Lepisosteus oculatus: one gene and its partners. The protein of the gene in region 1 purifies or fractionates together with the protein of each later gene. This does not show direct contact. Links are inferred from orthologs where the notes say so. Each region holds a gene or a part of one and is shown in the gene's direction. Other genes may lie near its edges.

Evidence for each region.
Region 2: the proteins of cul4a (region 1) and glmna purify together in Homo sapiens (affinity purification with mass spectrometry; 5 studies listed by BioGRID and IntAct, counting the BioPlex papers as one, with this or other methods). This does not show direct contact. The link is inferred for Lepisosteus oculatus from reciprocal best matches to the Homo sapiens genes CUL4A and GLMN.
Region 3: the proteins of cul4a (region 1) and dcaf11 purify together in Homo sapiens (affinity purification with mass spectrometry; 13 studies listed by BioGRID and IntAct, counting the BioPlex papers as one, with this or other methods). This does not show direct contact. The link is inferred for Lepisosteus oculatus from reciprocal best matches to the Homo sapiens genes CUL4A and DCAF11.
Region 4: the proteins of cul4a (region 1) and cdkn1bb purify together in Homo sapiens (affinity purification with western blotting; 5 studies listed by BioGRID, with this or other methods). This does not show direct contact. The link is inferred for Lepisosteus oculatus from reciprocal best matches to the Homo sapiens genes CUL4A and CDKN1B.

What each region holds. Positions count from the first base shown.
Region 1 is NC_090710.1:28,725,039-28,732,664, forward strand, and holds the start of cul4a (cullin-4A), read left to right. Parts: upstream 1-4,619; 5' UTR 4,620-5,392; coding exon 5,393-5,528; intron 5,529-7,626. Other genes in the region: pcid2 (PCI domain-containing protein 2), read right to left, coding at 591-694, 938-992, 1,582-1,621, 2,165-2,232, 2,567-2,640, 3,466-3,555, 3,720-3,755. UniProt on the Homo sapiens protein: Core component of multiple cullin-RING-based E3 ubiquitin-protein ligase complexes which mediate the ubiquitination of target proteins. As a scaffold protein may contribute to catalysis through positioning of the substrate and the ubiquitin-conjugating enzyme.
Region 2 is NC_090704.1:1,685,421-1,692,805, reverse strand, and holds the start of glmna (glomulin, FKBP associated protein a), read left to right. Parts: upstream 1-4,373; 5' UTR 4,374-4,461; intron 4,462-4,462; exon of another isoform or gene 4,463-4,523; intron 4,524-4,823; exon of another isoform or gene 4,824-4,844; intron 4,845-5,739; 5' UTR 5,740-5,782; coding exon 5,783-5,821; intron 5,822-6,075; coding exon 6,076-6,201; intron 6,202-7,318; coding exon 7,319-7,385. Other genes in the region: putative RNA polymerase II subunit B1 CTD phosphatase rpap2, read right to left, coding at 1,047-1,082, 2,007-2,095, 2,458-2,523, 2,660-2,758, 3,227-3,341, 3,719-3,764, 4,296-4,347.
Region 3 is NC_090699.1:14,359,669-14,366,603, forward strand, and holds the start of dcaf11 (DDB1- and CUL4-associated factor 11), read left to right. Parts: upstream 1-3,919; 5' UTR 3,920-4,155; intron 4,156-6,061; 5' UTR 6,062-6,070; coding exon 6,071-6,282; intron 6,283-6,935. UniProt on the Homo sapiens protein: May function as a substrate receptor for CUL4-DDB1 E3 ubiquitin-protein ligase complex.
Region 4 is NC_090702.1:5,914,501-5,921,667, forward strand, and holds the start of cdkn1bb (cyclin dependent kinase inhibitor 1Bb), read left to right. Parts: upstream 1-4,165; 5' UTR 4,166-4,467; coding exon 4,468-4,936; intron 4,937-5,503; coding exon 5,504-5,622; 3' UTR 5,623-5,632; intron 5,633-7,167. UniProt on the Homo sapiens protein: Important regulator of cell cycle progression. Inhibits the kinase activity of CDK2 bound to cyclin A, but has little inhibitory activity on CDK2 bound to SPDYA. Involved in G1 arrest. Potent inhibitor of cyclin E- and cyclin A-CDK2 complexes.

The sequences.
Region 1 (7,626 bases):
TTTCGTTTGAAACCTTTTTTGTCACAGTAACCCAAGTCATTAACTTGTAATAAACCGTCAAGGTTGATGACAGCATTTTGGCTGACCCTGCACACCGGTTAAAGCTCCAACATGTGTAAGAGCTGGGAACAGACTGTTCACATTGGTCTTACTATGATGAAGTCAATGCAGGGTTTGACTGTGTAACTGCGGGCTCCACTGGAATAAAATCCAGCAGGTGTGAAAGTCACCAGGACCAGGACTTGGAACCGCTGCCCCTGGGTATCGGAAAAGGCTCAATTCTAGAGAGAATTCTAGAAAGAAAAGCTCCGAGACTGCACACCACTGCTATATGAAGTCTACTGTTCCCCCCCACACACAGCAGAAAAAAGAGCTACCAGAAGACAAAAACCCACAAATCAATAAGACACGTTCCTAGTTCTGGGGAGCTGCGTCAGCATGCGTGGGCTGCAAAGGAACGAGTAAAGGTCTATTCCGTGCCGAAAAAGGAAAGAGACAAAGCGCTTCGGCCGCGGAGCCTTCTTCAGGCGGGAGTCTGCTCTCCTTTTCAGCACGAAACGAGGAAACGACGCGCAGCGAGCGGGGCTTACTTGTCGCTGGCACAGATGCGGAAGCAGCTCATGAGCTGCTCGGCGGCCTTTTCCAGCATGTCCCCCACCTTGCCCTTGCCCTTCTTAGCCAGCTGCTGCTCCGCCTGGGGAAGGCACACACATTTTCTGCTCCCTGCGGGCGGACTGCGGCGCGAGATTTCCAGCCGAGAAGTCGCCCCCCCCTCCCCCGAGCACTCGATGCTGCTCTTGGCCCAGTGAACACCGCGGATAACACTTTCCTCACCTCTACTGCACTGCCCCACGGAAGAAGACTGCAAAGAGTGCTTTCACTGAACACCAGCTACGGTCACATCACGAAAGAACACATTTACAGTACAACCACTTACATTGTTGGCGAAGATGCGGAGGTCTAATCCCACTGCATACATTATTGGCAGGGCCCTGGAAAAAACAGGCTAAATAAGAGACCAAAGACTAAGGCCACAGAACTCAACGTAAGAGGGGGATTATGGCATCAGTTGAGTTCAGGTTAGGGTTACTACTACAATTACTGCTTGGTCTGGATCTCCAGAAAACAGAAATAATGGAGAGAAACTAGAAAAAGATGTAAGGAGCACATGAAGCCCAGCTCTGAGGCAGGAGAATGGAAACTGCCCATTCTGTCTCAGTGGACTCACAAGAGAAACCTTCCCATAAGAAAGCAATTATTTGTCCGTGGATTTACTTTACTGCATATCCTTACTTGCACACAAACGTGAGCACTGCACCAAACTTTGAAAACTGCATCATTCAAATAAACTCAAGAAGAACCGAATGATACTCATACCTGCTGATGATGTGAGCCCAAAGTTACAATCTTGAGTATGTTGAGTTTGAAAAATCTTTGGATCAGTTGTCTGATTTTACATTTTGGCAAGCAACTGATGATTCAAAAATGTTACAACAATAAGAATGTATTATTCAAATAATGCCGGCATCAAGACGTTTGTAAAATGTGTTAAATGTATAGATGAGATTTGCTAGGTCTTACCAGTTTTCTTCCTTGTGAGCCTGGAATGCTTTTAAAAATGATGTAAAACATTAAGGAAAAAGAAGCAGCTGTTAATATCCAGGATTAAAGTGCATATCACAAATATCACTGCACTATAAAAGTACAGATTTGACACTGTGTCTAAATCTTTTCGCTCAAATTCAATGCATTTCTGAAGAATATTTTTCTACTGTATCACACAGAACAGCCACATTCACAAAATGCAAGACATTTATCTCGAGCTGCCAAGTGAATTATACGGTAGCTCTTTGTTACTGCTATTTGGCCGTGACAATACCATAAAGAGGTTTTGACAACATCCCGTGGCTTAAAAAGAATTGTATTGATGCAGCTTTTCGGTATGAGGTTGCATCATTATTTTGATGATGCCACAATGCTTTTTGGGGGCTTTCTCTGATGCAAATGATAAACTAATTCAATCAATCCTTCAGCAAAGGATTAATGTACTTATTCTCAGTAAAGTTCTGTTCACTGATGTAAATAGCATTCAAATGGTCTAAGATTAATTCAAAAAGTTTGCAGGTATTTGAAAGGTACTGCAAACCATACTGTATTAAAGGATATTGGACCACTACTGTCTGGCACTTGTATGCTTCCACAAAGTCATGATTTGCTACAGCATATGTACACCTGGAATGAGAAAGAAAAGGACACAAGGTCTGGATTAACAGAAGGATTACAGCATCCTCAAGCAAATACTTAATTCTGTGCTACATTCCCACTGAAAGCAACTCCAAATCTGTTGTACTGACGTTGTTGGGCGTTATTTTGTGAATTTCAAAACTATTTGTTTCTGCATGACCAGCATAATTCAGAATAATGAACAGACTGCCTAAGCTTCTTTGACAACCCACCTCTTGGTCAGCTTTAATTTGACTATGTCACTGTGCAATTAGGCAGACCCTAGGATACTGTGGCACTTAGATACACCACAGTACCAGGGCCTTAAATCCTCCCGCCTTACCTCAGATGTGCTGCAACCATTTCATCATGGGGGGGTTCAAGGACCTGCTGGCACTTCTCCTCGGGGCTGGGGAGCTAAGAATCAAGAATTAGCACAGTGACACGTACAGTACCATCAGCCCACACAAGCCCCTGTATTTTGGCCTGTATAATTCAGAAGTTTCCCAAGTGCGTGAAGGGAGTTTTGATCTCTTTAGTAAGTTAAATATATGGCCAGCTGTGGCCCATGAGAATGCAGGGCAATTGAATTTCCATTTCAGCTGATCAGTGAAGTACTTAACAAAACCCAGCTTCAGCAGTCAATGCAAATGTGTTCCAGGCATTCAGAGATTGTCAGGATACCCCACAAAGCCCGCTGGACTGAGGCTCAACAGAACCAGGGTTGGCCTGTCCATGACACATGACGCACATACGGTATATGAACATAAAAGACCTGCAGTGTGTGCCACTACGAGAGGCCAAGATCATGCACATCATTGGGCAAGATCATCCTGAATCCTGCAGAGCACTATAGCCTCACCTTGGAGTCTTCCTATTAACCTATGTACAGTAAAATGCATTAACAGCCCCAGAGAGGGAAGAGAGAAACTGTTGCAACAAAACAATATATTAACGAGTTAATTTTAACGAGCACCTTAAAGGAATGGGCCACCTGGGACCCACCCCTGTCTTAGCTTGTACAGTACTCCAACTCTAACCTTAACCCAACTCTGAAGCTCAATGAACCCTTGCACCTCACTAGATCTACCCCAGTCCCTCACTCTGATTCACTCGGTGCTGCACACGCAGTCGTGTCACTGACATTGACTTGGCCAACGTGACCACTGAGCAGGTTGATGTTTCATCGCAGGTTCCTGGCAGCTGCGAGGGCCAGTACTGGGACAGTACAGAACATCCTACCTGAAGCCTGGGGTTGGCCACATGGGGGTGTTTGAATGACAAAAGCTCAGCACAGAATGCTCCGTCTCTGGTGTCGGTGGCTTCAAGTACCTGGCACGAAGGATGCAAAACTCATTTACAGCTCTCCTGCCATCCAGCCAGAAGAGGACACTGAAAGTCGAGGCAGAGTTATCTCACGATAAACACAAGTCTATCCTCATTCAAGCCTCATAACATATTTTTGAATAGCTGTAAGGTCGTAAATTACACAATACCTGCTGGAGGTACTGATTTATTGTTATGTGTGCCATTGAAGATATTCAAGCTGTTCTTTCCTGCGCTGATGTTGGTTCCGTGATGGAAAGCCTAATGAAAGAGGGAAAATAGTTTATTTTTTTTGTGAGACGACAAGCATGGACACATAATTATAACATCAACCAAAATTATTCACGAGATGCGTGATTTAAACGGATAGGAGGACACGGCTTCAAATACAAAAATCATCTTGTGGGTAAAATATGGATTACCCTAACGTTCTTCGCCATCCATATGTTTGCGTCTTTAACGCATGCTGCGTTTTCTTTCGCAGAACCAGGACTTTTTGCAAGTTTTTGGCACGACAACACAGTCATACCGTCAAGTCATTCAACGACGTTTGGAACCGTTGACGTTTCCAAAAAGAAAAAAAAAACCCCACCGGTAGCGATGCCTCCTCAGTTACACGGTCACTAGACGCGTTTTAATTTCAAGTTGGAGTACTCACTATTCGCATGAACACAACCCTGCACGTACTTTGCACTTCCAGTCCTATTTTTGTCTCGGCATCAGAGATGCTTCTCCGCGACGTGAACCGCTGCTGCACAGTCCTGCAGCGAGCAGGCAGGCGCGTAAGGTCATGCGCACGATCTGCTTCCTGTTGGCAGCGTCCATGACCGCGCTACCTGTTAAAGACACAGCATTCACAATTATACAGTAACTTTCAAACACTCTGATTGTGCCGTACAGCGCCGGGCGTTTTTTTTATTTTTAGTAAGGTGTATGCGAAGTCTAAAATGCATTCATGAAAGGTTCTGCTTGTGCTTAGGACGCCTTGCAAAATGCAAATGATGTGTGGTGACGGCGAATCTTAATGCTGTCATCCAGTGTGAATGGCTCAGATCACGTTTTTTTGCCTCAATATTGTCCGAGTTGGTGGCATCGCGTCCGTGTTCAGTATGCCCAATGAGTAAGTTATTCTAAGTCTTCTGAACGCGGTGTCCCCCCTTTTTAAAAGGACTGTAAGGATATAGCAGGAGCATTGCAAGATACGGAAAAACTGTTTCGGGGGGTTTTACAAGTCCAGACCTAAACTCTCTGGTGCAACTGTATCCCTTTAATTTCTTTTTGAACTACTGTCAAGTGCAGACTAGGAAAAAAAAATCCTCCCAAGATGCACTGGCTAGGAGGTGGAGAAAGAAGCCATTTTGTTGGTATTTGTTTTCCAAAGATGAAGCTGCTGAGATTGTTCAGTGGAGTTTATAGAGTGGAGTTTCCACATCCGTAAAGAACTGGCGATGGTATAATGACTAACTTTTTAGCGACAGAGAAGCAGGGAGTCGTGGATGTACCTGCCACAGACTGTAGATAGTTTTTGTCCTTTTTTTTTTTTTGCGCGTCGGTCAAGTGCAACGTACTTCTTGCTGCACCTATACGAGAATAAATTCATACTAACAGGTTCCAGGAGGCTCATGGCGAGGAAGTAATGTTGGAGGAGTACGTGACAAAAGCCCATTGTAGCGACCTGTCAAGGATCGGGCATTCGGGACACCGGACACATGCATGATATAACGGCAAGCCTAACAATTTTCCAAGAGACTTCCTCTAAGAGACACCATTACTCGGGCACTTTGCACCCAGTTCAGAGGAGGAAAGTCTTCGCTTGCGCTGTCCGTGCCCTCCATCTGTAACGATGGCAGAAGACATCCGCCACAGCACGAAGGCAAACTTCTCCGCGCTGGCCGAGCACACCAACGGCCTCACTAAAACTTCCACGCTCGCCTCCAAACCGGGGGCCTCCAAGAAACTAGTCATTAAAAACTTCAAAGGTAGGTCCGGCGGAGAAGGACGCGGGTCCGCAGGTTTGTCCGCAGCCAGGCTTGGCGACGGCTGGCAATTGGCACATGTGGGATAAACGGAATAAGCCCAGTTTTTTTTTAAAACAAAAAAAACGGTCTGGCTATAATGTATCCTTAAACATTTCTTTTGACAAAAAATAGTAAAAAATGTAGCCAACTACAGTAGGTTGGTTCTAAACGAGCTTGAGCTGTTCAGCGCTTCAGGATGACTTTAAATGCCCGGGATTGTAGTGGTTAACACTGGCGTGACTGAGCGTCGGTGAGGTGGTTGTTGTTTTTGTTTTTGTGTGTGTGTGTGTGGCCTTATTACATAACAGTTGGAAGTTAATTCCGTGCACATTCTAGAAAGGGTGCCGCAGAGGTCGCCATTCGTCCAGGCGGCACTCGTTATTTCCCAACTCGGCTTGAACTTCCTGGACGCCGTCCGGCGGAGCGGACCCGTCGCCCTCCTGCCTGCCGGGCTCGGGAAGGAGTCGCGGCTCTGAGCCCCCGCACCCGTCCCCGAAAACCGAGAAATCGTTGGTGTTTTTCCGCTCGTTTTACCTTCTTCACAAACCCGGCATGCCTCGCAGCCCGGGCTAAGAGCCACTGCACTAGAGAGGATGTTCGTGCAACGTTTACACATAGGGGGGTGTGTGTGAATTGCTCACATTTTCTTCTTCTTTTTCTTTATGTCCTCAATATACCCAATAATAGGGCCGTTTGTATTGAATGAGCGATGTAAACCTACACGAAGCTACACAGGTCAGAAGTTTCTCCAAATACATGAGCTTGTAGTGCGGTGCTGGACTCAGTGCAGCTACAGTACTGTACCTTATACCCAGCAACACCAGCACAATTAAGAGAGCACTTCTGTACATACATACACATGTATGGGCTACGGGCAGTCTTTTTTATTCCCTCCCAAAAGCTTCAATTCATATATTTTTTTCCGGAGACGAGAAACCAGACGGGTTCTTTTAATATTCGTTTGAGGCTTGAGGTCTTGAGGCTGGCCTGGATAAAACTCTGTTGGAAACATTTGACACCGTGTTGCGGTCAGTTTGCTGCCGACACGCTTTTCATCGCCTGCCCCCTTATAAACGTTACTGATTTAAGGACTGATACAAGGGATCCCTGGAAAATAATAATAGATACGGTAAAAGGTCTTGCCTTTCTGCATTTTTTGGTTTTTGTCAGTTAGTGACAAGTATTTTTGCACCCTCAACATCAGTGTTACTGATTTGTTACCGATTACTGAGCGCAGAGTCCCGCATTTGGTCAGGTGATGGATAACGAATTCTAGTTAATTAAGGACACGGGGGAAATACTGTAAGTTGTGTCCAGACGTTATGCAAATCCAGACAAACCTTACATGGACGAAGCTGGAATAACAAGTGTCCATTGAACCGGAATGCTACAAATGGAAAACGCAGAGGAAGGTGGAGATCCATTTTCCCGGCCGGTTCCTGCCCTGTTTTGAAGGCGAGGGGCCGGAGTGTCGGACGGTGCCTCGGGGTCCTGGCTCGCTTTCCTGCCGGTTATGGACACTTGGGGAAAGCAGCTTTGCACGCTGCAGAGCTGAAGCCGAAGAGGCACCCAGGTCGTGTCGCACCGTAAATGACTCTAGGGGATCATTGACGCGATTGACGGGCCAGTTCAGGCGGCGGCGTCTCCCTGTAGTAGTGGGGACTCCACACCTGCGTTTTTCTCGAAATGTCAGTTGCCTCTGTTCTTGTGTAAATACGTACTGTTTATTAGGCTCAGTTTCCTCTGAGAAAGTTAAATGATTAATACTCCGGCAACGCACCTCTGTTATAGTTCAGGTGGGTAGCTGCGTCAGCATGCGTAGACTGCGCATCTGTTATATAAACAAAACCAAAACAGATCCCCTCCGGAGTCCTTTAGCCTGTTGACTGTGGTTTCAGTGTGTCGCCAAGCTCCTCATACTGCTTCCGGGCATTTTCAGCTGATGGATGTTGTCGAAAGTGGGACGGAGTTAGTTATTGGCCTGGGAGTTACTGGTCAGGGGTCATTACCTGAGGATTATCTGGAAAGCCAACCAAAGTGGTTCACCTCTGAAGAATTG
Region 2 (7,385 bases), on another chromosome or scaffold:
TGCGGTTTGGCCGCCGCGGGCTGTCATCGCTGGGCAATAGCGCGGAGCGCCGCCCGCTCAATCCAACAGTTCAAACACGCCTCTCCTCCCATTCACCGGCAAATCTGGACGCGTATCCGAAAGCTCCCCGATCAAAAAAAGCAAAATCGGCTTTGTGTACAAGCGGGGCGCCACAGGAAGCCCGTGCTTGCTGTCGATATAGTGTTACACGGACGCCCGGGCCAGCTCAGCAGCTGAGGCACCTCGTCACGTTCCGGCGGCAGGGCGCATCGCAGTAACTCAATACTCTGCGATTCTCCTCTGCTCCAAACGCAGTTTTTCTTCATTTATTCGTTGTTTGTTCCCCCCCAGCTCACTGACTGGTAGCTCCCTTCGAAACGGGGACGGCGGCTGGGGGAACGGGTCATGTCCCTCCGAGTTTCGCACCATTTCGCGGCCATGTGCGTAAATATCTGCCCTGTGTGAGATCTGTTCACGCTGCTCATGTTTATGAGGAACTAAACTCTTGACAGTATGCCGCAAAGAAACGCAAAAATATCGACCAAGTCGGACGCCACTGAAAGCTCGCGATTTCCGGCAGTGCCGACAGCGTCGCCGAGCAATCCGAGAGGTATTGAACAGTATTACCGAGGTGATTGATAAAAGCGGGACCGGTTCGTGCGGCCGGAGGCGTCACTTTCGCCCAGGCCGCCGTTTCCATTTTAGAGCTCGGCGCGGAGTCTCGGTAGAACCGCACAACCGAGCCCCTTTAAAACAAGTGGAGCATTCCTTGTTCGATCAGACAGTCGGTTCAGGCAGCAGTGTTTTGCAACATTTTGAAAAGTACACTCATCTGAATCTCTTTTTGGAGTTGCGTTTCACGCCGTTTCACATTACACAGGGAAGTGGCCTCTCCAGTATGACCTCCACAGTAACAGGTTAAAATAGTCGACATACAGATTCATACTGCAGCCCTCAGAATAACTAGGTAACCAAAATGTTTCTTCTGACCGCCCCAGTACTTCCTCTCCCCTGACAGGAACAAAAGCGAGCTCTTAAATACATACCTCTCGCCCTGCTTCATTAATGTGACATCTGGGAAGCTACAACACAAAACGGAAAGGGTAAATAAGTTACTTCCGTTCAGCCATGAAACCAGGCAGCTTATATGCCAGCAGAGGGGAAACTGGCTTTGCAACAGGAGAAGGATGAGCTTTGAACTGAAACTGCAGGAGCAGTTATGGATCCGAGCTCATAACTGCAAGGCTTCAGCCTCTGCAGTTTCCTGAAACAAGATTTCTAGGTTCAAACCTTGGATGAGGCATTGAGGTCTGTGTGCGAGGCCTCTCACTTGGATTGTGAGAGTAAGCCACCAAGCTGTATCAATGAGTATAAAACTCGTTCTCTTTGCATAAAACCATCAGATAACCTAAATCAGAAGAAATCCCAAAGTACCACAACTGTTCCGGCAACAAAATGATGCCTTATGACGAAGGCCCTTTGACTGAAACACTGTTGAATTCGTCTTAGTTTTCAAAAACCTCTCCACTATAACATCACAATTCTGCACCTCTCAATGTAATGGTTTTGGGTAGCCTTGAGGTTTGTCAAACTGATCACAGATATAGAACCCGTCGATCAAAAAAAGAGAAGATCAACGGAAACAAAAGTACGATATCAGTGGTGTGGTTGACAATGACGATGACAAAATGCTATTAAACAGCAAAAAGCTGCTCTATCAATAAGAGCTGATGCATATCTATACAAGTAAGACACAGTGGAGCCTTCTGTCAGTCACTTGATCCCAGAGAAGGCCAAGGTTACTTTCTTAAAAACCGTTGAAAGGTAACAAATGAGAGGCCACTCGGCCCATCTTGCCTGTTGGACAGGGATTGACCCCGTCCATCTGCCTCGTGAAAGAAACTGGGGCGTTGGCACAACGACATGGCTGGGTAGCTGGTTCCACACCCACCCAAATCTGTGGAATAAAGAAGCACGTCTTTCTTGCACCGTGCTGCTGCCATTACCTCTCCTCTTCTCGCGACCACAGGGGAGTCTTGGGGATCTGGCCTTCGAAATACTTTGATGCTTTGTAACAAAAGTTACTGCAGAAACACTGAATGGGGGGAAAAAAAACAACTGTGTATCAAAACACAGGTCACACTTACATAGCAATTTATTTAAAAAAAATCATCCTTTATTTTCAGATACTTTCTGCAGCTTTTAGTGAAAGGAGACAAGAGGTGTTGCTCCCATTTCTTGCTGGAGAATCCAAAGTCTTTCACCTCCGAACTAAGAGGGGAGCACAAGACAGCACAAAGAGAGCGTCACGCACTCTTCAAGCACAGGACACAGGAGAGAACTCCGCTGTGTGTTCTAGAGTTGTCAAATCCACAAAGATTATGACAAAAAGCCACCCAAAACATTCTGCCGGAGTATTTTTTATTAAAAAAATCAAAACAAAATAAAGCACCTTACCTTCCGTTCTGTGATGTCATACACTTTATTCGTTCTGGTTGAAATTTTGTACTGCTGCTTGGGAACCTGTCATTATGAAAAAAGAAGATACATATATAGAGATTTGACAAAAGGGGATTTTAGAAGACGAACACATTTCTGGTAAACAAAAGAGACAATGTTTAATGTCTCATAGATGTGTCTGAGCAGTGTGAGGTCTTACGTTCACAAGTTTGTTCTGACAGACAGGGTAGCCACACAGCTTGACTATAGATCTCTCGTCCACGACGTCTCTGTAGTTTCCTGGAGTAATGGACTTTGCCTGGAATGATAAATAGTGACCCATTAGGCAGACGGGCAGCAATTTTGCACTACATTACACACACTGCTCCAGATGCGTCTGTGCCACAGCTGTAGTGCAGGTCCGTTGGCCGCAGCTGGTAAACCTGACCTCCCCTCTGTGATGCACTCTCCGAGAGCGAAGGTCAGCCTAAACAGAGGCCAACAGACGGGGTGCGGAAGCCCTGCGGCCCCAGGCGAGCGACTCTCATCTTTTCATCCGGTCCGCTTCGGGAATCGGCCTCCCGCCACCTCGGATCTGAGCGCCATCACGCTCCCCACTCCCCCTCCCTCCGCCCCTCGCGCCCAGAGCAGCGTGGGGCGGGAACGTGGAGGCGGCCCCCTGCTCCAACCCCACGCTCCTCGCGGCACCTGTCCGCTGCGAGCCCGGGCCCCAGGGGGAGCCGAGGGCAGAGCGAGGCAGCACGCGGCCCCCCGGGAGGACACCCACGCAGCCCAGCAGGAAGTCCTCCGTCACGCTGTCCTCCAGCAGCTCCTCCACCAGGCGCAGGGCCCTCTGCTCCAGCTGCAGCTTCCTCCTCACGGCCTCCTTCAGGGCCTCCTTCCTGCGCGGGGTCAAAGGAAGGGGCTGTAAACCGAGGCCCAGGCTGGCTCAGGTACGACCGCTTCATCGCAAGGTATGGAGGGTGGGAAACAGTGTGAAACACGGTGCGGTTGAAACGAAATGGTTCTATTTCTGAGCCACCGAGTGCGGCTTTCATGTAGCAATGGTTATATCTGGAAATGAACGAAATAGACTAAATAACTTCACACTGAACCGAAGCCCGTGGAAGAACAATGGACATAAGACTGAGGGAAAGGAAGTAGGAGCCCCTTGAGGTACTGACTGTCAGAATGGGTCCCATTTCTGCTCAGTTTAAGTTTTCGGGTTTTTCACGTTGCTGTCATGTCCCAACACTGCACAAGCCCCGCAGTCCAGTACCTTTTAGCAGCTTCCAAGGCTGTCTGCGCCTTGACCGCTGTCCGACCTGCAAAACACACGCATTGGGTCACTGCTAACGGACCGGCCAAGCGCTCACACCTCCGCGGACGCGCCCTGCTGAGCACGGCCACGTGTTCCCGTCAATAATCAGGGAACAGAAGACCGTTCACTGTACGCGTCACGTCCGGATCAGCTGTGAAGGGCGTGCTGTGCGCCCGCGGGCTTTCGCGGAGGAGCTGCAACGCTGCCTTTAAGGTTGAACTCCAAGGCTCAGTTCAAAGGTCGCTACGAGGGGTAACACGTGTAAGAAACAAGACCTCTAGCACAATTCACGCACCCAGGAATGTGCTCTGCTTCGGTGTTTCGACAGTGGTCTACAGAAAAACGAAAACCTTATTTATACCTTCGGCTTCAGACAGAGAAACGGCGCACTCTGTGCTCCAGAAGGGGGTGTACTGGGCGGGGCAGTATTTCAACCCGTCCCTCTTAATCACTGAGCTCCCAGTGCCTGATGTGGCAGAGGTGAACAGCACAGGGGAGGGAGGGGGGAATAAAACTCTGCATTAAGCCGACTAACCTTTCTTTCCAGGTCCCGCTGACCTGCCGGCTGCTCCCCGACACTCTTCCATGCTTGTTGTTCTTCCGCTTCACCTTTGACCCGTGACGTAGGGCGCTACGGCTCGCGGACAGGGCCAGCGCCGGCGCGCGCACTTCCTAAATACACGCGCCGCTCCTGCCTGTCTGTAAGTACAGCGCCTTGCACAGAGCAACACCGTGTCTCTGCTCTCTGTCTGCTACACGATGGGTAATAATAGCTGGTAGTCAAATTAGATCATCAGTCACGCATGTGTCCGGGAAAGACAGAGGTCTGTCGTTTTGATACAGTTGCCCTGCCATGACAGCGCTTCTTTGTTTTGGTCTTTCGCGCAGCATCATGAAAATGTGGCGACATGCATTCGTGATATTTTTATCGTCCAGGATAATTAGGCGCAAATAAATCGTTCAGCTGTTTTTAGCCCATAGCCACGTGGTTGGCAGACTTTCGCAGACTTTGACGTGCATTCCAGACGCGAACTACGATCATCATGCTTTTCCACTTGATGATCTTGCTAAATATTCAGTCGTTGTGAGTTGTGTGCAGTGACTTGTTGTCTGTAACTGTTTGCAAATAATTGCTCTTTTCTAGATGTTTCCGGGGACACCGGGGACAGCTATTAGTCCATCTTTAGGACAGGCAGTGCTGCTCCGTGCTCGGTAAATCCTATTAATCCGCACACAATAGAAGGCAACACAGTAAGAGGTTTAAGACCTCTCTGCTGACCTTGTCGGTACCGGCTTTGCTTTCTGTAGACAGATTACCTGGGAATCGCCCGCAAGAGTAAAGAAACTTTTAACAAATATCAGGGAAAAAGAAAGACGGCGCTGATTAAAATGTGGTGTCTTGTACTTCTTTTATCAAACTATCGGAAGGAATAGGATAGGAAACTCTCCTCAGTTCAGAGGTCAAGACAGCTAACGTGCGTTGGCATGATTTGGCTTAAAACGTGTGACTGGGATCCACTAGGGGCAGTGCTGTGGGAATACGGGTATGGTGGGGTTAGTCGACTCTCTGTGACCCCGCGACCCCTGTGACCTCCCAGGTGCAGTTGTTGGGGGACACGTCCCCCCAGAGATTGCTGCTGAACCTCAGATATAGGGCTGTGCTGCTTGTACCCTGTTATAAACGCACAATTACATAAATCCACATCAGGGTGTCCAAGATCACTGGCGGTTATCATATTACAAATGTCTGATGTTTACATTTCAATTTCAGTTCACACAAAGACACGGTTCGAGTTGGGAGGTATTTCAGGCACCTGTGACTGTTCAGCATGTACGTCCAATCCCCCTCAAATGACACGCCTGTCCACATTTCAGGACAGCTGGCATGCGTTGACCAAATGTGGCTTAAAAGTTTGCGTTGAGCTCTGTGGTCACGGGTTCGAACCCGAGTTTCAAATGTCTCTTTTTAAACCCTGTAGGTGCTGGCACTGAGGGGGGCACCTGGACCTCAAGACGCTGAAGATGGCCTTAGAGCAGCTATATGACATGTTGCAGAGATGTGTAAGTACCGTCAATGAAGCGGTTCTGTAGTAATAGCTTTCACTGCTGAAAATAACTTTTTAAAAACTTTTCCCAGCCGTTTGCTTCAGTACCTGCTATTGATAAGATTCACTCAATAATTCCACCAAAGGAAACCTCTCAAAACTCTTAATTTCAAGATTTGGGATGACTCTTCTATGTCTGCGTAAGTCGATGTGCTGCTAATTTGGTGCTCCTCCAGCTTTACACCCTCCCTGCCTGCTCCCTGTCTGCAGCAGGTGCTGGCTGACGACAGCTTCAAGCCGGAAGACTACGAGCAGTTCCAGAGCGCGGGCCGGGCCTGTCTGGAGCGAGGGGGCGCGGCACAAGTGCTGGAGGTCGTGCAGGATGAGAAAAACAAGGTCCGCCTGCACATGCCGAGCTGAATGGTGCACGTTACGTCCAACTCCCGAGCAATACCGAAACAGAGCTCTGACAGCACTGGGAGCAAGGCTTTCAAGATGTCCCCACCAAAGTAGTTTGAAGGGGAGGAAAGCACATGGCTGCTCGGTACTTGTAGTGTCCCCTGAAGATTTCGGGTTCTAACAGAAAGGCATAAGAGCGCAGCACCTAGGCTTTGCTGCAGGGTTTAAGAACTGTTCCATGTGCCTGGCAGTGAGAGCCACAGCCTGCGCCATGGCTGTTACACCCTGCTGTTGATCCTGAGGTGCCAGCGGAGAGCTGCAGGAGAGTGTCTGATTTCTCGCTCCACTGGTGTCCTTCAAGGGTGCTCCAGTGTTAAACGGTTTTCTTGTATTTAAACTGCCTGGTGTTCTAATACTGGCTGTCTGCCTTTCACAAAGGAGCAGATGCTTTTAAAAGGCACATTTTCAAAATCCAATTGCTTCAGAGCACAAATCAGAGGTCTCTTAAAACACCAGGCTGTAATGGTAAGTCACTTATAAAAATGAGAAACGTCACATATGGCAGTGGATTGATTTATATTGAACGAGCAAGATTTTTGGTTTTCTGGAAACATCTTGCACATCAGAGGAGAGAATTAAAACCTGTGCCGCTGCTGTAGCAGGTGGGCTTGCAGCTTGTGAAGGGGAAACAATAGCAGGGAGACGCTGGATTTCTTAGCAGGGCTGAGAGGGATTCGTTCCAGGCCCTCCCTGAGGCGCCCGGGAACGAGGTGCCGACACCTGCTGTCGTATGTTTGAACCGGTAAATGTGCAAGTTTGAAGTGCAGGGGACCCATTAAGGCCCAGACACTGCCGGTTCGGGCCTGTTTCCGGATGACTGTGACAGGCGGTCCACCAGGAAAAGCCTGGCCAACAAGGCCAAGCCCCCTGCAGCAGGGCAGCGAGAGACACACAGCGTCTACAGGGGCAGGTCGGTCTCCGGTCAGGAGCCGTAAGAAAGGGCAATTTAGGATGGGGTGGGTACGTCATCAGAAATATTGGTGAATTAATGATTTGAGGAATTAAAAAAGGCGTCCGATGCGGCGTGGCCCTGAAGAGAACTGTCCTCTTGCAGGCGATCGTGAGGAGCATGGGCTGGAACCTGCTGGGCCCGCTGGTGCAGGTCATCTTGCAGAAGGATG
Region 3 (6,935 bases), on another chromosome or scaffold:
GGTCAATGGTGGCCGAGTGATGTGAACCAGCAGACGTTCGATCTGATGTGATCTGATGTGATCTAAAATACTTTTGGATGAAAGTGCTACAGAATGGTGAGAGAAGTCTTTTGCGGGCTCCGAAGGAGTTCGGGTGTCTCAGACCACACCAGCGCTGTATGCGATTACTCCACAAGAAACTTGAGTTCATCGTCCAACGCAGTGGACTACACCACCAGACCCCCCACCATGGATCGCTGTGGGAATGATGTTTTTCAAATCAACAGTCATTTCTTTTGTTTCTGACACCTTTATAAAATAAGATACGATCACTTTATTGGCCCTATACAATCGCTTGCATTAGGAATTTGTCTTTTCCCAGACCCCAGCTTGTTCTCCATGAGACACACAGACAGGGGAAGAAGCTGGGGGTCAGAGCGCAGGGTCAGCCATTTGTACAGCACCCTTAGAGGGGCTGGGGTGAAGGGCCTGGCAGTAGGATTCCTCTGCCAGCCGTGGGATTCGAACCGGCAGCCTTCCAGTCACAGGCGCAGATCCTGAGCCACAGAGCCACCACACCACCCTTCATCTCCTGGTAAGAAGTATCAGACCAGTTGCCGAATTCATCCGGACTGGGTCTGTGTGCTCATCCAGGCTCTGAGAGGAGGGACACTAGTACACTCTCACCAGCAGGCCTGGTGATGTAATGATTTTCAGAGTTGCTTCGATGGCTACCGCCATCGCTATATAAGAGGAAGAGAAGGGGGAAATAGCACCGCCTGGTGGTGATCCAGCAGAACTACAAATGGAGTCAGAGGCCAAACCATTAACAGATACATTTTGTGTTTTATTGGCCAGAAAACTAACGATGCACATGATCAGCTGATGATCCCATCTGAAACCTGTGATTAGGTTTTCAACCAAAATGTGTGGCTGCATTGTGTGAAAGGCTGATGAGGACACAGCAAACACAAGTCTGGCAGCTGATTTATTCTAAGTGCTTATACAGAATCAATCAAAGGTTCAATCAATCAGTCGGAGTTTATTTATCAAACGCACAACAATACCACGTGCAGCAGTAGTTGCTGGCAGTGAAATGTCTGTTCTACAAGCTCACGGGGGGGGAATCACAAAATTAAAGTTGCAAAATAAGGTGAAATAATGATCGATAACAGTGCACTAGAAATTGAATGAGATAAAGTCAGACAGAGCTCAGTATAGATATCAATGGAGCTGCTCTGTGTCCAGGGTGTGTGCAGTACAGTGTGTCCCAGTAGTGCAGTTATGCTGAATACGGTGAAACTGTGTGTCCCTGTAGCCAGTACAGGTGATTTGCTGAAGGAGCTGCAGCTTGGCTGTTTAGCGGTCTTATTGCCTGGAGGTAGAAGCTGTTCCCTGATCTGTCGGACTTTGACCGAATGCGTAAGAGAAAACAGTTTGTGACTGGGATGACTGGGGTCCTCGAGAATGGACCTGGACTTCTAAAAGAAAAATCTTAGCATCATGGGCTCCCCTTCCAGGACAGCAGGCCAACTGGAGGGGGCCGGGACCTGACTGTACTGCGGCCATGGTATGGGACTGGCCTGCTTCTTCAAGAGTCCTGCTCGCTCATGGAGCCAGAGCTGTTGGCCTCAAGTCAAGTCTAGTCCTCTTAGGAACGGGTACGGGTGTCTAGAGCTTCCGAACAGCCCACTGCCCACCAGACAGCACCAGTGTCTACAGCAGGGGCCCCCAGTCCTGGATTAATAATAATAATAATAATAATAATAATAATAAAATAATTCCTTACACTTATATGGGACAATGTGCAGCTGGATGATGAGACAGCAGCTAGACCAGTGTCTACAGCAGGGGCTCCCAGTCAATTATTATTATTATCATCAACAATAATAATAATCTGTTATTGCTGTAGACTAGTGTCTACAGCAGGGCTCCAAGTCCTGGTAAAAGAACAACAATAATAATAATAATAATAATAATAATAATAATAATAATGTCTCCTGCAGGGGCTCCATCACACCTGAGCTGGACTGGTGTCCTGTCCAGGGTGTGTGTGTGTGTGTGTGTGTGTCCTGTGATGGACTGGTGTCCTGTCCAGGGTGCGTGAGAGTGTGTGTCTGTGTGTGTCCTGTGATGGACTGATGTCCTGTCCAGGGTGCGTGAGAGTGTGTGTCTGTGTGTGTCCTGGGATGGACTGGCGTCCTGTCCAGTGTGTGTGAGAGTGTGTGTGTGTGTGTGTGTCCTGTGATGGACTGGTGTCCTGTCCAGGGTGTGTGAGTGTGTGTCTGTGTGTGTCCTGTGATGGACTGGTGTCCTGTCCAGGGTGTGTGAGAGTGTGTGTGTGTCCTGTGATGGACTGGTGTCCTGTCCAGGATGCGTGAGAGTGTGTCTGTGTGTGTCCTGTGATGGACTGGTATCCTGTCCAGGGTGTGTGAGAGTGTGTGTCTGTGTGTTTCCTGTGATGGACTGGTGTCCTGTCCAGGGTGCGTGAGAGTGTGTGTCTGTGTGTGTCCTGGGATGGACTGGCGTCCTGTCCAGTGTGTGTGTGAGAGTGTGTGTGTGTGTGTGTGTCCTGTGATGGACTGGTGTCCTGTCCAGGGTGTGTGAGAGTGTTTGTCTGTGTGTGTCCTGCAATGGACCCATGTCCTGTCCAGGGTGTGTGAGAGTGTTTGTCTGTGTGTGTCCTGCGATGGACCCATGTCCTGTCCAGGGTGTGTGAGAGTGTGTGTGTGTCTGTGTGTGTCCTGTGGTGGACTGGTGTCCTGTCCAGGGTGTGTGAGAGTGTGTGTCTGTGTGTGTCCTGTGATGGACTGGCGTCCTGTCCAGGGTGTGTGACAGTGTGTGTGTGTGTCCTGTGATGGACTGGCGTCCTGTCCAGGGTGTGTGAGTGTGTGTCTTTGTGTGTCCTGTGATGGACTGGCGTCCTGTCCAGGGTGTGTGACAGTGTGTGTGTGTGTGTGTGTGTGTGTGTGTGTGTCCTGTGATGGACTGGTGTCCTGTCCAGGGTGTGTGAGAGTGTGTGTCTGTGTGTGTCCTGTGGTGGACTGGTGTCCTGTCCAGGGTGTGTGAGTGTGTGTCTGTGTGTGTCGTGTGATGGACTGGTGTCCTGCCCAGGGTGTGTGAGAGTGTGTGTCTGTGTGTGTGTCCTGTGATGGACTGGTGTCCTGTCCAGGGTGTGTGAGAGAGTGTGTCTGTGTGTGTCCTGTGATGGACTGGCGTCCTGTCCAGGGTGTGTGAGAGTGTGTGTCTGTGTGTGTCCTGTGATGGACTGGTGTTCTTCCTTGTGGCCCTTGCCTGCTGCAGCTCTCCCACACGACCCTGTACCTGATAAAGTTGGATGGAACACAAGACAGGTCTCAAACGAGACGAGGCCACTCGGTTCATCCAACCTGTTTGGTAATTAGTTTTGTAATTAGTGGCTCATTAACCCCAAGATCTCATCCAGCTGTTTCTTGAGAGCAGCCAGGGTATCGGCTTCAGGAACATGGCTGGGCAGCTTGTTACACACTCCCACCACTCTTTGTGTAAAGAAGGGAAAACTCATAGGCTTCTCTATTTGTCAGTGTACGAAACTGTCAAACCCCAGAATGTATCAGGTTGCAATATCTATTGCACATTGTCTGATGAATTTAAATTAATTGCACTTATGTATCACATTTCAGTTAACTCTTGAATTTGTTACCAGAAAAGAGGAAAAATAAATTAACTGGACCGTATCCTTCCACTTACTGCGAGGTGACGTCAGGATCAGCCAATCACCGTGTGGGATGCGGTGACAGACGGATTGATGTCACTTCAGAGAGTGACAGTTCTGGAGCTCCGCTTCCACCCGTCGGACGGCCATTTTGGCTCCAGTTTCCAACTGCGCGCTGGCAATCCATGTCAACGAGGAAGCAAAATGGAGCCCTTCGGTGGCTGGGTGTCCTTGGCGATGGGCCGGTCATGTGACCGCGGCGGGGGCAAAGCTCGTCGATGTAAACAACATGGCGACTCGGAGAGAAAAGACCGGGGCCTACCTGGGGATTATTCCTTAACGTAAACTCAAGCAGTGACAATAAAAAAAAACCCAAGCAGTATCGATTCGCTAGTATTGATAAGCCTATTGATTGTTAAAGGAAGAACGTGCAAGACAACAACGCGATCCGCGAACGAAGCCCTAAATACAAATTTCACCAGGTACTGTATTTTCTATTTATCTGTTGAGTTTCTTGTTAAGTGTTCATTGAGCCTTTTTATGATTGTCATTTTCGGAAGGGGATTAATTCACTGAAATAGACGCGAGTCTTCCCGTGTCGTCGGTGTAACATAACGATACATTTAATTTGATTAGATAATTAGCTTGGTTAATTAGTCGAGGAGTATAAGGAAAGCATTTTGACACTGAACAACTGCCGTTTCGATTTTGGCGAGTGAGGAAACTAGACGAATTACTGATTAACCCCTCTCTCCCAGTGCAGTGTTAATGTACTGGAGTGTCCAGTCAGTCAGTGTGTCTGTATGAACCCCTCTCTCTCAGTGCAGTGTTAATGTACTGGAGTGTCCAGTCAGTGTGTCTGTATGAACCCCTCTCTCTCAGTGCAGTGTTAATGTACTGGAGTGTCCAGTCAGTCAGTGTGTCTGTATGAACCCCTCTCTCTCAGTGCAGTGTTAATGTACTGGAGTGTCCAGTCAGTCAATGTGTCTGTATGAACCCCTCTCTCTCAGTGCAGTGTTAATGTACTGGAGTGTCCAGTCAGTGTGTCTGTATGAACCCCTCTCTCTCAGTGCAGTGTTAATGTACTGGAGTGTCCAGTCAGTCAGTGTGTCTGTATGAACCCCTCTCTCTCAGTGCAGTGTTAATGTACTGGAGTGTCCAGTCAGTGTGTCTGTATGAACCCCTCTCTCTCAGTGCAGTGTTAATGTACTGGAGTGTCCAGTCAGTCAGTGTGTCTGTATGAACCCCTCTCTCTCAGTGCAGTGTTAATGTACTGGAGTGTCCAGTCAGTGTGTCTGTATGAACCCCTCTCTCTCAGTGCAGTGTTAATGTACTGGAGTGTCCAGTCAGTCAGTGTGTCTGTATGAACCCCTCTCTCTCAGTGCAGTGTTAATGTACTGGAGTGTCCAGTCAGTGTGTCTGTATGAACCCCTCTCTCTCAGTGCAGTGTTAATGTACTGGAGTGTCCAGTCAGTCAGTGTGTCTGCATGAACCCCTCTCTCTCAGTGCAGTGTTAATGTACTGGAGTGTCCAGTCAGTCAATGTGTCTGTATGAACCCCTCTCTCTCAGTGCAGTGTTAATGTACTGGAGTGTCCAGTCAGTCAGTGTGTCTGTATTAACCCCTCTCTCTCAGTGCAGTGTTAATGTACTGGAGTGTCCAGTCAGTCAGTGTGTCTGTATGAACCCCTCTCTCTCAGTGCAGTGTTAATGTACTGGAGTGTCCAGTCAGTCAGTGTGTCTGTATGAACCCCTCTCTCTCAGTGCAGTGTTAATGTACTGGAGTGTCCAGTCAGTGTGTCTGTATGAACCCCTCTCTCTCAGTGCAGTGTTAATGTACTGGAGTGTCCAGTCAGTGTGTCTGTATGAACCCCTCTCTCTCAGTGCAGTGTTAATGTACTGGAGTGTCCAGTCAGTGTGTCTGTATTAACCCCTCTCTCTCAATGCAGTGTTAATGTACTGGAGTGTCCAGTCAGTGTGTCTGTATTAACCCCTCTCTCTCGGTGCAGTGTTAATGTACTGGAGTGTCCAGTCAGTGTGTCTGTATGAACCCCTCTCTCTCAGTGCAGTGTTAATGTACTGGAGTGTCCAGTTAGTGTGTCTGTATGAACCCCTCTCTCTCAGTACAGTGTTAATGTACTGGAGTGTCCAGTCAGTCAGTGTGTCTGTATGAACCCCTCTCTCTCAGTGCAGTGTTAATGTACTGGAGTGTCCAGTCAGTCAGTGTGTCTGTATGAACCCCTCTCTCTCAGTGCAGTGTTAATGTACTGGAGTGTCCAGTCAGTCAGTGTGTCTGTATGAACCCCTCTCTCTCAGTGCAGTGTTAATGTACTGGAGTGTCCAGTCAGTCAGTGTGTCTGTGTTAATTCCTGTCTTTACCTTTCTCAAAGTGTCGGTCTATGGGCTCTCAGTCCAGTTCTGGGATGTCCGGTCGGGCCTCCAGTGGTGACCCAGACGAGACAGAGCCAGAACGCAGCCAGAACCGGGGCCAGCAAAGCCGCAGACAGGCGAGGAGACAGTTGGACAGAGGGGCAGAGGAGCAGAGCGACAGAGGGTCCGCAGCAGAGGAGGACGTCGACTTAGCGCAAGTGCTGGCGTACCTACTGAGGAGGTAAGAGTGCAGCACTGTGTCTCTCACGGGCTTCCTGCAGGGACACTGAGTCTAGGAGAACAAACTGACACACTGTCCAGACATCCTGACACACTGTCCAGACACTGAGTCTAAGAGAACACACTGACACACTGTACAGACACACTGACACACTGTCCAGACACTGAGTCTAGGAGAACACACTGACACACTGTGTAGACACTCTGACACACTGTCCAGACACTGAGTCTAAGAGAACACACTGACACACTGTACTGACACACTGACACACTGTCCAGAAACTGAGTCTAGGAGAACACACTGACACACTGTCCAGAAACACTGACACACTGACTCACTGTACAGACACACTGACACACTGTACACAGAGTCTAGGAGAACACACTGACACACTGTACAGACACAGAGTCTAGGAGAACACACTGACACACTGTCCAGACACACTGTACACTGAGTCTAGGAAAACACACTGACACACTGTGCAGACACACTGTCCAGACATGCTGACACACTGTACTGACACTGTCAAGGAGAACACACTGACATACTGTGTGGACACACTGTCCAGACACTCTGACACACTGTACTGACACTGAGTCTAGGAGAACACACTGACACACTGTGTGGACACACTGTCCAGACACTCTGACACA
Region 4 (7,167 bases), on another chromosome or scaffold:
TATGAAATTGCCTTTATTGCATTTATGCTTTGCACACTGAACAGTCACGTTGAGGCACGATGGTACATTTGAAAAATGTTTAATATTCTGATTTACCCTAAACTTTCAGTTATATATATATAACGATCAATGTTTTCATTTCTTTGGTACTGTCTATAGAATCCACTCCCAGGCACAATAAGGCACACTTTAAATTCTTTCCCCTTAAGAAAACATGTCGGAGCAGACAAATTTATAGCTTATTTTCTTGGGGGGTAATTTCCATACCGTTTTGTTTAATTTGCGATATGAAATGCACTCATCGTTTACAACTGTGTACTTTGGTAAAAGCTGACCAAATGTTATTCTATATTTACAATACAGTGAGACTTTTATTATGATAAACAAACATAATTATATATTGTAGATGCAGGCAACACAGTGGTACAGTGGTTAGCACTGCTGCCTCGCAGTGCTGGGACCCTGGGTTTAATTCCTGGGGTGCTGTCTGTGTGGAGTTTGCATGTTCTCCCCATGTTCACTTGGGTTTCTTTCCAAAGTCCAAAGACATGCTGGTAGGTTAACTGGCTTCAGGGGAAAATGGTGCGAGTGTGTGTCTGTCTGTGCCTTATAATGAACCTTTGTCCCATCCAAAATATAACCCTGTACTGGATGAAGCAAACGGATGGCTGGGTTTTACAAGACCTTTATTCTAATTTCTAAAATAATCTATTGTGCAGAAAACAAACAAACAAAAAACATTAAAAGGTCAAACTGCATCCAAGGAGTAAATAATACAGAACAAGACATGTTATGACAGCCTATGGTCAAGAGATTATAATGCCGAAGCTAGAAATGCAACTCTTAACACAGCCTATTGAACTGTAGCCTACAACAAATAATGTGCCCGTAAAAGACATGTTGTTGAGAAAAAAGCAAATCGATATTTGCCTGCATTTCCTTGCTCCTAAAAGATCAATTCAGCATGATCAGCATTCTTTCCCCCCAGGGCATTACCTCATCTCACATGTTCTTCTGCACGTCAACTTTATGACCTTGTAAACTCTTTGAGTAAACAACACGCACAATGCCTACTGTGTGCCATCATTATGGAGGAATATGCCAATATAAAAAAGTATTTACTGTAGCAAAGTTTAATCTGACAGTGATAAGACAGTGCCAAGTATGACGAGGGCTTTGTGCAAGAGTTGAGCACATACATAGCATAGCAAAGCTAACTCTGCCTATTGTAACAAAATCACATCAGTGCCGGATCTCCCATTAGGCACTGTAGGCACAGGGCCTACGAAACATTTTTAGGGCCTACGAAAGAGGGAAACACTAGTGACTAACGAAAAACGAGCTGAAACAACACGCTTGTGCTCGACTCGAGGTGCTCCAAATCAATAGTCATACTCTATCTAGCGGCTGTTCTCTCGACTCGCTCCATCAATCACGTGGTTTAGCATCAGAATAGTTTAAAGTACTGTCATGTCAGTCGGCGTCCTTCAATTGGCATTTATCCATCTTTTTGGAGTGAAAGTGCCTAGGGCCTACAAACACCAAACTCCAGCCCTGAAATCACATCGAAAATTAGTTCTGGTTTCTAATTTTATGGTGATGTACTGTGAACCAGTTGAAGTATAGTATGTATATTCTGTATATTCTGCAAAGGCAAATCCCACTTTGCTCTAAATTTATTGTTTTGCTTTTTGTGCCACTTACTTTACTTTGTACCACTTATTTCATTAAGTTAGATTCTAATTCTCTGTTGTACCCTTATGTAATATTCCCACTGAGAATTACTGCTGTTCAGTAGCGTAAAATGTTATTGATGCAGCACTGTAGCTACAGTATATTAATGCTCATTATTGGCACCACTAATCTGTAACTAAAACAACTGTCCTAAAGCTAACCTTATCCCTAGCTCTCAAACTAACAATGCATTTGCACACGACTGAATCATTGTTCCATTTCCTGTGCCAGCGACATTGACCTTTTGAACTGAACGATACTGAAGGCCAGATTCTTGTTAAATGGTAAAGTGTACAAATATATTTTTCATATAACTGGATGTGCAGCAGGTCCTGCAGTTTTAAAGTAAGAACAGAAACATTTATTTAGGTGTAAAATATGTCCACAATATTGTAAATTCTGGTAAAACTGGAATACCACCTATTAACAAGAGCTGGTGCTACAATCTCAATATATTTAAATCCACCTACACAAAGTTTTATCAAGTGATGTGCCTACACACTGTTTATACTTCTAACAGATAGAAAAATTTGGTTACTTTACATCACAGTCTCACACCACATTCTTAACAGCTCCAAAACAGATTTAACATTTTAACTGTTTCATTATTTGGTGTGTTAAAAGCTTTAAATTAATCCCATAATCAGTTTTTTTTTTCTGTATTCTGGAATATACCCTTGAAAAGACATCACAACTGCAACATGACATAAAACATGTTCTAAATGTAAATTTATAAACACGTGCCAAAGGGTCTCTTCATTTTATTTGAACCTGTACTCCTAAGGTCAATTACTTACTGACACAGCTTTAAATTGCTACCATCATCCACTCTTTAAACGTGACAGACCTCAAGTCAACAGTGCCAGTAGTATCACTGCAATAAAAAATATGTAAGTGACATCATAAACTTTTAACAGCAGTATTTAATTATCATGGTACATAATCTAAATAAGCATGAAACAGAAATAAGAAGAGAAACCAAATCACTCTAACATTCAACACGCAGAACAGATTCGAAATTGGAAACATTTGTTCCTAATTCTAGACCTTTGACTTTCCTGAAGTCTTTGCAAAGTTTTTCCCCCCTTTCCAAAATAATTTTTTACTAAATGTATTTATTTTTTTAGTTATGGGAGAAAGTGTTAGAACACGGTAGTTTTAAAGAGTGATAGTAGACCATTCTCTGAATATAGTACATTTATTATCCAAGGGATCTTTTAACGGGAAGCGTGAACCAAATGCTTTATGAGCGCCAAGTTCTTAATGAAGCTCATTATTTACTCATATGGTAAAACGGAACAACGCGTTGTTTGCTGCCGTGATACACTCAGTAACAGGTTTAGACTAAAAAGTCAATTTTATTACACAAAACAGCACAATTAATCATGTTCAATTATTGCATTGCCCGAGATTTTTACTTGCCACGGGAAACGTGACTCCGCCAAATCGTTTATTGAGCAAGGTTTTCGTCAATTAGTAGTGGACTAATAAAGGAAAAGTAAAAATGATCATTTCCACCGCATCCTACTGTACATTGGCACGGCACCATAAACATTGCATTACTACAGTTCAGCCGTACCCCTTTAAATCGACCCTAAAATGTGGCAGTCAAGCTAACAGCCTACTAATAACTGCCCCGTCTACCCAACCCATAGTATGATGGCGCTCAACCCTCTCTATACCTTTTTCTTTTTCGTTTCGTGGTTACTATTCCTTCGCCTGTATCACTCTCTCTGCTCGGGGAGTGACTTGCTTATACGTAAACAAAACACTTTAGATCATAGCAAGGTTGCTGCAGACACGCAGCCCCCAGTTTTCAAAAGCAACAAAACGCATTAAGGTGGACTAGGGGAGTTATCCCAAACCACCCGTTTCCAATCGCCTTTCGGGCGCCTTGTTTTGCTACAAAATGCAACGTGGTGCACGCCTGCGGAATTTATTCACGTTTAACACCTATAAGCCTTTGCTAATGCCAAGTCATGAGAAAAAAAAAACGGCTTGAGATTAGGGTCATTTATTCTTTCACGTCTCCAGAGTACTGTAGGTCAGTGGGAGATATTGCCCTTTTTTTTTTCTTCTGTATTAACGTTGTTGGTATCTGGAAGCGACTTTGCTTCCTCCGGCTACAATTCCTACTTCCGCCAAAACAAAACAAGCCTACCAAAGCTGGGCCGATCAGAAATCTGCGGATTTAAAGATCGCCGCGGAGGAATTTTTCCAAACGAACAAGAGATTCCGATGCATTTGGGCTTTTTTTTTTTAATGATACGAAGCTGCAGAGACCGTAGAAACGAAAAACAGCGGTGCTCACCTTAAGAAACGTGGGCGTCTCGCTTTGCTTTAACCAATGAATCTCCTTCTCTGTTTAAGTCGATCTCGGTGTCAATCATTTTTTTTCTCAGTCAGCCTCCCTTCAATCGCCATATTGGGTACTGAAAAGGCTTGTCTGTTTTTTTTTTCCCCCCCGTCTTACTACAAGACTAAATTGACAGGAGTGGCTTTTGCAACTGCACTTTGTTTTGATGGTCTGCGGAGATTACTTTTGCTCGCGTTACAGTTTTCGCACGTCTTTTTCAGATCACGGCATGCCTGCGCTGGCGTTGTTGCTTGCAATAATATTTGGCGTTCGTGTCGGATCGATTTGAAGGAGGCGAACAGAATTATATATATATATTTTCATTTACTCTTGTTGTTTTTTTTTTCCCCCTGGCGTGGAGAGAGAGGACAAAAAAAATGTCAAATGTCCGTCTTTCAAATGGTAGCCCGACGTTGGAGAGGATGGATGCGAGACCGTCGGATCACCCCAAGCCGTCGGCTTGCAGAAACCTCTTCGGGCTGGTGGATCACGAAGAGTTAAGGAGAGATTTAAAGGGACACTTGCAGGAGATGGAAGAGGCGTCCAAGGCGACATACAATTTCGATTTCGCGAATCACAAGCCCCTTTCGCCTGGGAGATACGTGTGGGAAATTGTGGAGGATACGGAGGTACCGCGATTCTACACGAAGCCGTCACGGGCGTCGAAGGGCATCTGTCCGTCTGGGAATATCAGTTTGGATCTTAATGGGAATCACAGCTGTGGGGGGACTGCGTGTCACGAAGGCACTGGGGACAGGCTTTCCGGGGACAGTGCGGAGAAACCGGCAAGTCAAACGGATTGCAGGGACCAGCGCACTACGCCGAGGAAAAGATCAGCAAGCCATGGTAGAGATCAGCTTCACGTTTACGAGAAAACAAAACAACAATAACAACAACAGCAAAAAAAAAGATATCGGGTGTATTTATTTTGGGTCGCCGATCTCACGGTTTCGGGAAAAAAAAGTCCAGATTTTAATTTTTTGTTTTTAAAGTGAAAGGCGTTGCGCGCATTCGAGGAGGTTTTCTTTTGTTTTCGTCTTGTATCTTATTTGATGTCGCGCTAATCGGAGCCGCGTCGGAGTGTTTCCGAGAGGCGAGTGGAGTTGCGTGCGTTTCGGGGGCGACCCGAGCGCAGGCACGTATCGCATGTCCGGCTGTTTTTCGTATTTTGTTTTTCATTTTTGGAGGTTTAAATGCACACGTAGTTGTGACACCGTCACATCCCCCCCCCACCTCCCACCCTTGCTGTTTTTGAAAGGCTTTTTTACTACGGCATGCAAATCCTGCGGTGGCGTGCGGGCGTCCAATTTTGAGACGGCGGACCAAAATACCGCCTGCCCGCCTCTCAAATGGTTCTGTTAAAAAAATAAATAAGAAATGCTAATCGGTGAATTTTGTCTTTCCTTTTTGTAGCGGACTCATCGCAAAATAAAAGGGCCAATACTACCGTGGATGAAGTTGCCCTGAGCCCTAATGTAACGAGGTCAGAGGAACAAACGCCCAGTAAATCCAACCCCAGGCAACAGAAGTGAAGATTTTAAGGTACCTTCTCGTCATTTTAATGTCTTGTAAAAAACTATAAACGTTTTCGCAGACGTAACTCACTACCGCGCCGCTTTAAAAAAAAGCTTTATGTTTCCCTGAACTGTCATTTTCTGGAAAATCTAGTCGCGTTGTCTCTAAATTGGTCAGGACGTTATGGTTGATTTCATTAGTGCATTAGTGTATGTTTCTCGTCGGCCGTCGCTAAACAACAGTGCTGTAGTACAGTTTGTAGTTAAAATAAATACATTTGAAATATGCCTTTAAAACTGTTACGGGGCTGTTTTTTTTCCCCCAAAAAAAAACGTTTTTCGTAGTTTTCGGGGAATGGTTAATACACAGCAGGTGCAGTCGAATTAAATTCATCTCTGGGTTTTTAGTGCTAGGCGAGTCTCATCCTGAAGAAGAACAGGCCAAAAACCTAATGCAGGCATAGAAAACTTAGGGCGTTAAATTTAATATTGTCTTGGATTTTGTTGGTGGAGAAACAGTGGTGTTGTCCAGGGGGGCTTCGTGTGTTCTCGCTGTGGGAGGGAGCGGGTTAAAATTTGCTGCGCCGCTTTTATATCATCCATTCAGAAAGGATGGCCGGGGGTGGGTTGTGGGGGGGACGGGACGGACGCTGGAGACATTTCAGCTCACGATCACTTGAAACACAGACGCAAACGTGTAAAAAAGGGGTTAAAAGCAAACAGATCTGACGTGTTAACTCAAGAGCGCTGTTGCCCTCCGAGAGTGAGCTCCCCTCGTATCTGTAAACAAGCGCCTGCACTGAACAACAGTAGTAACACGTCAGCAAGAGAGGCTTTGACTGGTGAAGGGGTTGGCCCAGTTTTCTTGCTTCTGTACCTGTTCCAATCTGAGAACGGCAGCGAGCACTTTCGCTCACAGACCGCTCCGTGCGTGCTTGCAAAGTAAGGTTCGCCAGTAAGGTACTACGAAAGTATTCACATTGCATCTGGGTGCGTACTTGTGAACCTTCAGAGGTTATAAATCATTGTGCGAACTGGTTAGCCAAGAAAGTAGAGATGTCAAATAAACATAATAGTGCTTTTGGGGAGATGCAACTGTTATTTATTTTTTTTTGTTCCAGGCACTTATTTTTAAGTGATTTTTAAAGGCTGTGATAAACAGATTTTTTTCTTTTTATTGTTGGGAGGCAAAACAGTGTCCACAGCTAATTGCTTTGCAACAAGTTTTATGTGAAATGTAATTGGATTGGATTGCAAATCTGTTTTATAAAAAGTGCCCCAGTTGGAAGATTTGATTTTTTTTTAAGTTTTGGGGGATAGAACCCTAAGGTAGGGATTTGATTTAATTTAGTAGCCTCCTTTTGTGTGCAATTTTTATTAAAGGAAACTGTAATACAAACTTGTTCTTAAGTGATACACAGATCAGTATTTTGGATCCTTCTTTGATTTCATTCAAAGTGGCTTAAAACTCCAGAGCACTGTGTCAGAGGATTGCTTACAAAGATTGAAAGCCTATTTTTCAGTTTGGTGCTAACGTGTCGTGATGCTGAATATCATGTTTTC